Ovis aries: one gene and its partner. The protein of the gene in region 1 purifies or fractionates together with the protein of each later gene. This does not show direct contact. Links are inferred from orthologs where the notes say so. Each region holds a gene or a part of one and is shown in the gene's direction. Other genes may lie near its edges.

Region 1 (3,512 bases):
TATGAAAACTATAATATACTCTCCATACTCAGAGCTTACAGTCCAAATAGCATTTTAAATACATTAAATTCTATGTGTTTATGAAGCAATAGATCACAAGGATACTTAATAGCATTTGGATATAGAAATATATCATGTTTCATAAAATAGTTAGCAACCTAAACCTATTTGTCACTTTTACAATTCTGAAAGTTTAGCTCCAGAATTATGAACAACTTCGAAAGGACACAGTACTTTGAAGTATAACTATGATTGATTAGGCTAAACTAATTCCAGCGCTGCATTGTATACTACTTTAATCTTTTTGAAAAGTGAATGAACAGCAGATGGCCTAATAAAGACACTCTGTGTGCTTGCCCAGTGTGGATTGGCTCTGAAGGGACGGCCTTAACACTTTAGGGTCCATATATTTGCAATACATCTGTCTTAGTCAAGGCAGATGGTTAAAGGAAAAAGAAACTTCCAAACTTTTGGAAATAGTCCAATTTGGGACTGCATGTTTGGCTGAAATGTTGATAAGACCTGATTTTCACCTTTAAAATCTTCTCAAAAAAGTCTAGTCTGTGAGAGTTCAAAATACATTTGTAAATAGGATTGCTGCTGGGTGTCATAGTTCTGCTTTTTTTCATGTTGCATTGTCACCCAGGCTTTCTGTGTATATTCCAGTTATTACGAGAATTATTTGGACTCTGCATTTTAACTACTCATCAGATTGACAAAATGAAAGGAAATAGAAAGCATTATCATTTTATAACTTGAAAATGAAGGTTGAAACATCGCATTTTTCTTAATTTTTATTTAATTTCTACTAGAGTAAATGTAGGAAGAACACTATCTTGTCATCATGTGTGGAATTTAAAACATGAAGTTTGCAAATGAAAAGGTTTACTTTTATATCATGAAAGCTTAATTACTTATAATCAAGGTTATTTATTCATAGCATATTAATGCATAAGAGCATGCCACTGATTTGAGAGAATGGAAGAATGATGAAGGGGGTTGATTTGTGAGAAGATTTCATGTCATTTTCCTAGAACAAATATGGAACAGTTTAATTAGAAAAAAATGTATAGGCATCTGTTTCTGTTTAGAAAACGAATGAATTTTCTATTTAGAAAATGAGTGAATTTTTTGAAATACCTCTCTAACATGGTCATTTCTTTAAATTAGTTTTGATTACTCCAGTGAAACCAATGAAACATATTTATGAAGCAACCTTTTTTCTATTTTTTGTATCTCACAGTAATAACAAGTAGTGGCTACAGCCCCAGATCCGCGCATCAATATTCCCCACAGCTGTATCCTTCCAAGTAAGTGGTCAGTAGTCTTTCAAGATTTGTTAGAATAATTTTCTGGCATTATTTTGATTAATCGTATTTACACAATATAATAATTTTAAGTCAGGATATATTTATATATATAAATGTTGCTGCTGCTGCTGCTCCTGCAAAGTCGCTTCAGTCGTGTCCGACTCTGTGCGACCCCATAGACAGCAGCCCACCAGGCTCCCCTGTCCCTGGGACTCTCCAGGCAAGAACACTGGAGTGGGTTGCCATTTCCTTCTCCAATGCATGAAAGTGAAAAGTGAAAGTGAAGTCGCTCAGTCTTGTCAGACTCTTCATGACCCCATGGACTGCAGCCTACCAGGCTCCTCCGTCCATGGGATTTTCCAGGCAAGAGTACTGGAGTGGGGTGCCATTGCCTTCTCTGAGATAAATGTTATAGGTAGTTAAATAGATATATTTTTTGATAGATTCATTGGATAGATTAGACCTATAAATAAATATCTTTCACAAATCTAGGAATATATTCACTTTTGTCCAGACAGTTCCTTTAATTTCGAACATTTATATATTTTGAAGAAAGCATCAAGCACAGATCAGAATATACTGATTTTTACAATAAAAATTTGAAAACTATTACTAGTTTAAAGAAAATCTGAAAAGATTACATTTTACTCAAACCTCAACACTTCATAATTTGTTCCAGCTTTATAATATTTTTATTGGATTTTAACTTCTAATAAACATTTTGGAAAAATATGCACTATTGCTTGTATAACTAATGTAGTCAACGTTTTGAGGACAGTGGTAAACATTTCAAGCTTAACCATATTGGGTGTATATCTGAATTTGGTTGCCATCAGAGAGATATGTCAAGATTTGGGATTCCTGATCATGCATATTTAAAAGTTATTTTCTACAGCAGCTACAGTGTTTATCCTTAAGCATAGGCTAGAGATTGGATATCTATTTTGAGGACATTCTGTAAGATGTGGCAAGATAAAGGGAATGGCTTTCCATTTCAAGAAGCTGCGTACTTTAAAAAAAATTTTTTTTCGATAAGATTTTTAGTTCTTGTAAGGAATTCTTCCTAGGGCTTTTAATGACTTTTGTAATCATTACATGGCATTGGGTCATGCATGGTAACAGGAAATAATGCTCATGAGTTAATTAATCAATTAACTGACCTGGACTCATTAATTAACTGACCTGGACTCCACTTTCCTCATCTATGTATCAATTGGAATACTATTTCAGATGTAAGCAATATAGACCTGGAAGAGACTTTCAAGATGATATCTAAACCAAAGTTTTCTTTTCACAGGTGAGGTATAGACTTAGGAAGTTTATTTGTCCAAGGTATTGAGACTGGGTTATAGCAGAGCCCGCTCTCCTGACATTCAGACTTTTGTCCTTTTCTATATTGTAAAAATGGTGTTGTGGATAAAGAAGAGGATTACTTCCTGGCTATTATCAGGTTTCACTGAATCTAAGCTGTCTGAAATAATATACAGTCTTTGTTGCCGCAGTAATGCTATTTTTCTGATATTTAGGCCCTATCCACACATTCTTTCTACACCAGCAGCTCAAACAATGTCCGCCTATGCAGGCCAGACTCAGTATTCGGGAATGCAGCAGCCAGCCGTCTACACTGCCTACTCACAGACAGGACAGCCCTACAGCCTACCCACTTACGGTATTTCCCTTCTTCTCTCTTCTCCTTCTTTGGTTACAAGCAGGTAATCCTGCTGGCTAGTAGCTGTGTGTTCTAATATTCTTATATAAACGTATATTCTAGTATAAGTTGCAACTCACGTTCCAGCACGATCATTTTACTAATAAAATGGTTTGCACATGCACTTTCCAAACAGATCTGGGCGTGATGTTACCAGGCATCAAGACAGAGAGTGGACTCTCACAAACTCAGTCCCCATTGCAGAGTGGGTGCCTCAGTTACAGCCCAGGCTTCTCTACCCCACAGCCAGGCCAGACACCTTATTCTTACCAGATGCCAGGTAAGCAGCCACCCAGGATACATGTTAAGTGAGAAAGAATTCTTTGAATGAGACTCTTTGGCTTCAGACTAAGAATATATAGTCATGAAGACAGTATTAAATGTTACCACTGCTCAGACGATACCATTGGAAAAGATAACTAAAAGAAAACATGATGAAAAGAGCTCAACATACATCAAGAAACATGACCCATATTAAATTTAAATACTTAAGC
Region 2 (4,259 bases), on another chromosome or scaffold:
TAGTCTTAGCCACTGGACCACCAGGGAAGTCCCCTATTTCCCTTGATTTATTAATAATTACTCAGGTTAAATGTCAATTTCTCAAAGACAAGTAGCAAAAACAAAACCCTAAAAGTGGTTTGACCAATAAAGTGATTTATTATCTTATACAACCAGAGTCTTAAATCAGGGCATCTCTGTAACCTATTTTAAAATAAGTGGCTCAGCAATGTTATCAAGGATCCAGGTCCTTTCTATCTTACTATCTACCATAGTACTTATCACCATTTGAGACAATATACCCACTCCGGTGTTCTTGCCTGGAGAATCCCAGGGCCGAGGGAGCCTGGTGGGCTGCCGTCTATGGGATCGCACAGAGTCGGACACGACTGAAGCGCCTTAGCAGCAGCCGCAGTAGCAGCAGTGTAGGAGTTAACCCAGATTCTGAAGCCAAACTGCTTAAATTTGTAACCTGGCTACCACTTAACTAGCTGTAGAGTTAAATTACTCAATCTCTCAGTTTCTGTGTCTGTAAAACGGAGATGATGACTATAATATTAACTACCTCAGAGGGCTGATTTGAGGACTGAATGAAAGGCTGTGAGGATTAAATATGTAAAATTGAAACAGCTTCCCTAGTTCCCCTAGAGGATGAGATGGTTGCATGGCATCATCGACTCAATGGACGTGTGTGTGTGTGTGTGTGTGTGTGTGTGTGTTTTAGTGGCTCAGCCGTGTCCGACTCTTTGCGACCCCACAGACTGCAGCCAACCAGGCTTCTCTGTCCATGGGATTCTCCAGGCAAGAATACTGGAGTGCATTGCCATTCCTTTCTCCAGAGGATCTTCCAGATCCAAGGATCGAACCCTGGTCTCTGGCATTACAGGCAGATTGTTCACCTTTTAGGTTACAGAGAAGTCCTCAAAGGACACGAGTTTGAGCAAACTTCGAGGCAGTGAAGGACAGGGAAGCCTGGCATGCTGCAGTCTACGGGGTCGCAGAGTCGGTCACGACTGAGCGACTGAACAACCCTAGTTCCAGTTCATTCCTCAGGCTCAGTTTTATCCTGGAGACATTCCTGTATCGTTTTAATAAACTCTCCTCTCTCCTTTAAACCATTCGTTTCTGGGGTTCGCCACGAGGCTCCCGGAACTGTCATTTCGCTTTGGTGCCATCTGGCGCCCCAAAGGGAAATGACGCGCCTGCGCTCTCCGCTCTCTGCCCTTTGTCTCTTCCCCTGGTCGAATCCGGTACCTATATCTTTAAGGTTTTTGGTCAAGACTCAAGAATTCAGGGGCGAGAGCCAAAGAACACCCGCTTGAAGGCCTCTCAGGTTGGTCCAGTCCGGGTAAGGGGAGGGATTTAGCTAACTCCACATGAGTAACTGGTCTTTCCTTTGGCTCCGCCCCTGTGAGGCAATCACAAACGCCTGTGATTGGTCAGGGGCTCTGGAGGCGGGGGCTCTGAGCTTGGCTGCTGGTTCTCCCTGACGGTCCCCGCTGCAGCTCGGTGGGCGGCATGTCCGCGAATGAAGAGATTCGTGGAGGTGCCAGAGGAGAGAGCACTACCGCTACCGGCCCCTTCAGCTTCAGCTCGGAACCAACGCTGGAGGACATGTAAGCCGTCCTTGCCCAGCCTGAGCTGGGTAGATCGCCCCTACTCCCTCCTTTCGGGTAGGGTCCCTCCACGTGTTCGGAAAGAAAGGCTAGCAGCTGTGCTCAGGTTCTAGTTCTGGGGGCTGACCCCAGGCGAACTTCTAACCTTCTCCTCTGCAAAATGGGCTTAACTATACACATCTGAGGCAGGGGACATGCCGGAGTACGGTGATGCTTCTGCCCTGCCTCTGTCCTCCAGGAGCGGGAGGTAGGATGGGAGCAAATGCAGTGTTGAGACGTCGAAGACATTTCTTTCTAGAGGAAATCCAAGAGGGCTTCTTGGGGGAAGTGTCCTGGGGCTGCATTCCGTAAAATCAATAGGATTTAGATATGCAGAGACAGGGTTATTCCAGGTGGAGGAAAACTGTAGAAGCAGCAACAGGAAGTGGAACAATGAAAACGAGGGTATTATTAGATTTCGATAGTTTAGGGTCTGTGTAAGGATGCACCCATTTTACAGATGAGAAAACCACATCCTTTAAAAAAGAGATGACCTGTTTAGGCCATCCAAAGAATTAGTTGCAGAATCCCCTCTGACTCGCATGCCCCCATTGCATCTCACTGAGTACCTGCCAGGGCCCCGCATCTCCTCCCCCAACCCCTAACCTTGGACCTGGACTTCCACCTCTTTCTCCCATTCCAGCCGCCGCCTCCATGCTGAGTTCGCTGCTGAACGAGACTGGGAGCAGTTCCATCAGCCTCGGAACCTCCTCCTTGCCTTGGTGGGGGAAGTGGGGGAGCTGGCAGAGCTCTTGTGAGTAGATGACAGGCTCTCTGGAAGAGTCTGTGTTGAGGAGGGGAGGGGAGGATTCATTTGACCATCAAATATCCATGGATCCAGTTTCCGCTCCTCACTGCCAAGCTCTTCTGTACCTGGTTGCTGGGCATTTAGAGAGATGACTTATGGGTCCGCTGCCCTCTAGGGGCTCCCAGTCTCCTGGGAGAGAAAGGTGTAAAAACAGCAAGGTAGATCCAGGTCTGAGAAGGGGTGGTGGCAACCTTCCTTTACCTCTGCCTCTGGGGTAGAAAGGCTGATCTTCTATAGAAGGCATTCCAGAGAGGGGGAACCACATTTGCAAAGGTAGTGAGATGGAAAAGGGCGAGTTAAATTCAGTGAGAATGTAGGAATTCAGCGACAAGGTAGGATTCCTTTAGTGTGAGCTTCTTGACAAAGGGCAAGGGTTTTGTATCTGTCTTGTTCTCTGGTGTGTCTCAAGTACCCAACACACAATAAGTACTTGATACATGTATCTCTTGTGGCCGCAGAGGAGAGGGGTAGGATAGGAACACAGAATGGTAGGATTCGGCTGGGAAGTAATGGAGTTCTGGACAGAACGCCTGACCCGATTTGAGTGGTAGAAAGATCACTGTACCTGCAGAGTGGATTTGATCCTCTAGGAGAATTGTGTCAGGGGAAATCAGTGAGGAGACTGGTGTAGGTGAGGCAAAATGTGGTGAGGACTAAACCAGGGTAGTCTCAGGGGCATGGAGAAATGACAGCACAGATGTGTGGGAGGGCAATCCATTCATTCATTCATTACAGGTGCATGAGCACTGTCTGGGTGCTAGGTCATCTAGAATCAAGATATGGTCTTGAACAAGATGGATACACTCACAGTGCAAAGAGACTGACAATAAATAAGTGAACTAACTTTGAAAGATATGGAATTGTGACAAGTTCTAGGAGGCAAATAACACAAGGTGTTGAGAAAGAAGGTAACAGAGGAAGAAGGCTGTTCTAAGGAGGTAACATTTGAGCTGAGACCTGATGGGAAGCATGGGTGGGGTAGAGCATTCAAGGTTGAGGGAGCAGTAAGTGCAAAGGCCCTGTGACAGTTTGGCCTATTTGCAAGACAGAAGAGGCCAGAATGAATGGCTTTAAGGGTGGGTGGGGGGCAGGTCAGAGGGAGTGTGGTGGATAATGACATTGGCAGAGACAGGAGTCATTTCATGCAGAACCTGGAGGGCGAGGTAGGAGGTTGGATTTTATTCCAAGAACAGTTGGAGGAGTTGTCATTTTTACTTTTGGCTGTGCTGGGTCTTTGTTGCTGCATGTGAGTTTTCTCTAGTTGCAGTGAGTAGGGTCTACTCTCTAGGTGTAGTGGTTTCTCTTGTTGCAGAGCATGGACTCTAGGGCGCTCGAGCAGTGCATGGGCTCACAGTTGTGGCACACGGGCTTAGCTGCCCCTATGGCATGTGGAATCTTCCCAGACCAGGGATCGAACCCGTGTCCCCTGCATTGGCAGGCAGATTCTTAACCACTGGACCACCAGAGAAGTCCAGTTGGGGGAGTTTTAAGCAGGGGAGGGATGAAATGTAATTTGTTCTTTTAAAAGATGGTAGGGTAAGAAGAGGAGATGAGTTAGCAGACTTTTGCCGTGGTCCAGGTCTAAGGTTTAGTCTGGGGTAGAAGTGACTGGGGGTTGGCAAGTAGGACTGGGTCCCAATAAGTGAAATGTCCTCTCCTTGGCTTAGGTAGGAACACAGAGGTCTGGGTGAATCATCTGATGAGGTCTCTTCCCCACCATAAGGAGTCCAGGGCCCAGATGGGTTGACTTGTCCTGGAAGAAACTTACCAGGAGGTGGGAGTTCACTGCTTCAAGGACTGGGCTGCTCCTAAGAGAG

The links.
Region 2: the proteins of EYA4 (region 1) and DCTPP1 purify together in Homo sapiens (affinity purification with mass spectrometry; 3 studies listed by BioGRID and IntAct, with this or other methods). This does not show direct contact. The link is inferred for Ovis aries from reciprocal best matches to the Homo sapiens genes EYA4 and DCTPP1.

What each region holds. Positions count from the first base shown.
Region 1 is NC_056061.1:58,960,900-58,964,411, forward strand, and holds part of EYA4 (eyes absent homolog 4), read left to right. Parts: intron 1-1,243; coding exon 1,244-1,310; intron 1,311-2,836; coding exon 2,837-2,979; intron 2,980-3,154; coding exon 3,155-3,298; intron 3,299-3,512. UniProt on the Homo sapiens protein: Tyrosine phosphatase that specifically dephosphorylates 'Tyr-142' of histone H2AX (H2AXY142ph). 'Tyr-142' phosphorylation of histone H2AX plays a central role in DNA repair and acts as a mark that distinguishes between apoptotic and repair responses to genotoxic stress.
Region 2 is NC_056077.1:27,117,985-27,122,243, reverse strand, and holds the start of DCTPP1 (dCTP pyrophosphatase 1), read left to right. Parts: upstream 1-1,457; 5' UTR 1,458-1,497; coding exon 1,498-1,595; intron 1,596-2,277; coding exon 2,278-2,388; intron 2,389-4,259. UniProt on the Homo sapiens protein: Hydrolyzes deoxynucleoside triphosphates (dNTPs) to the corresponding nucleoside monophosphates. Has a strong preference for dCTP and its analogs including 5-iodo-dCTP and 5-methyl-dCTP for which it may even have a higher efficiency.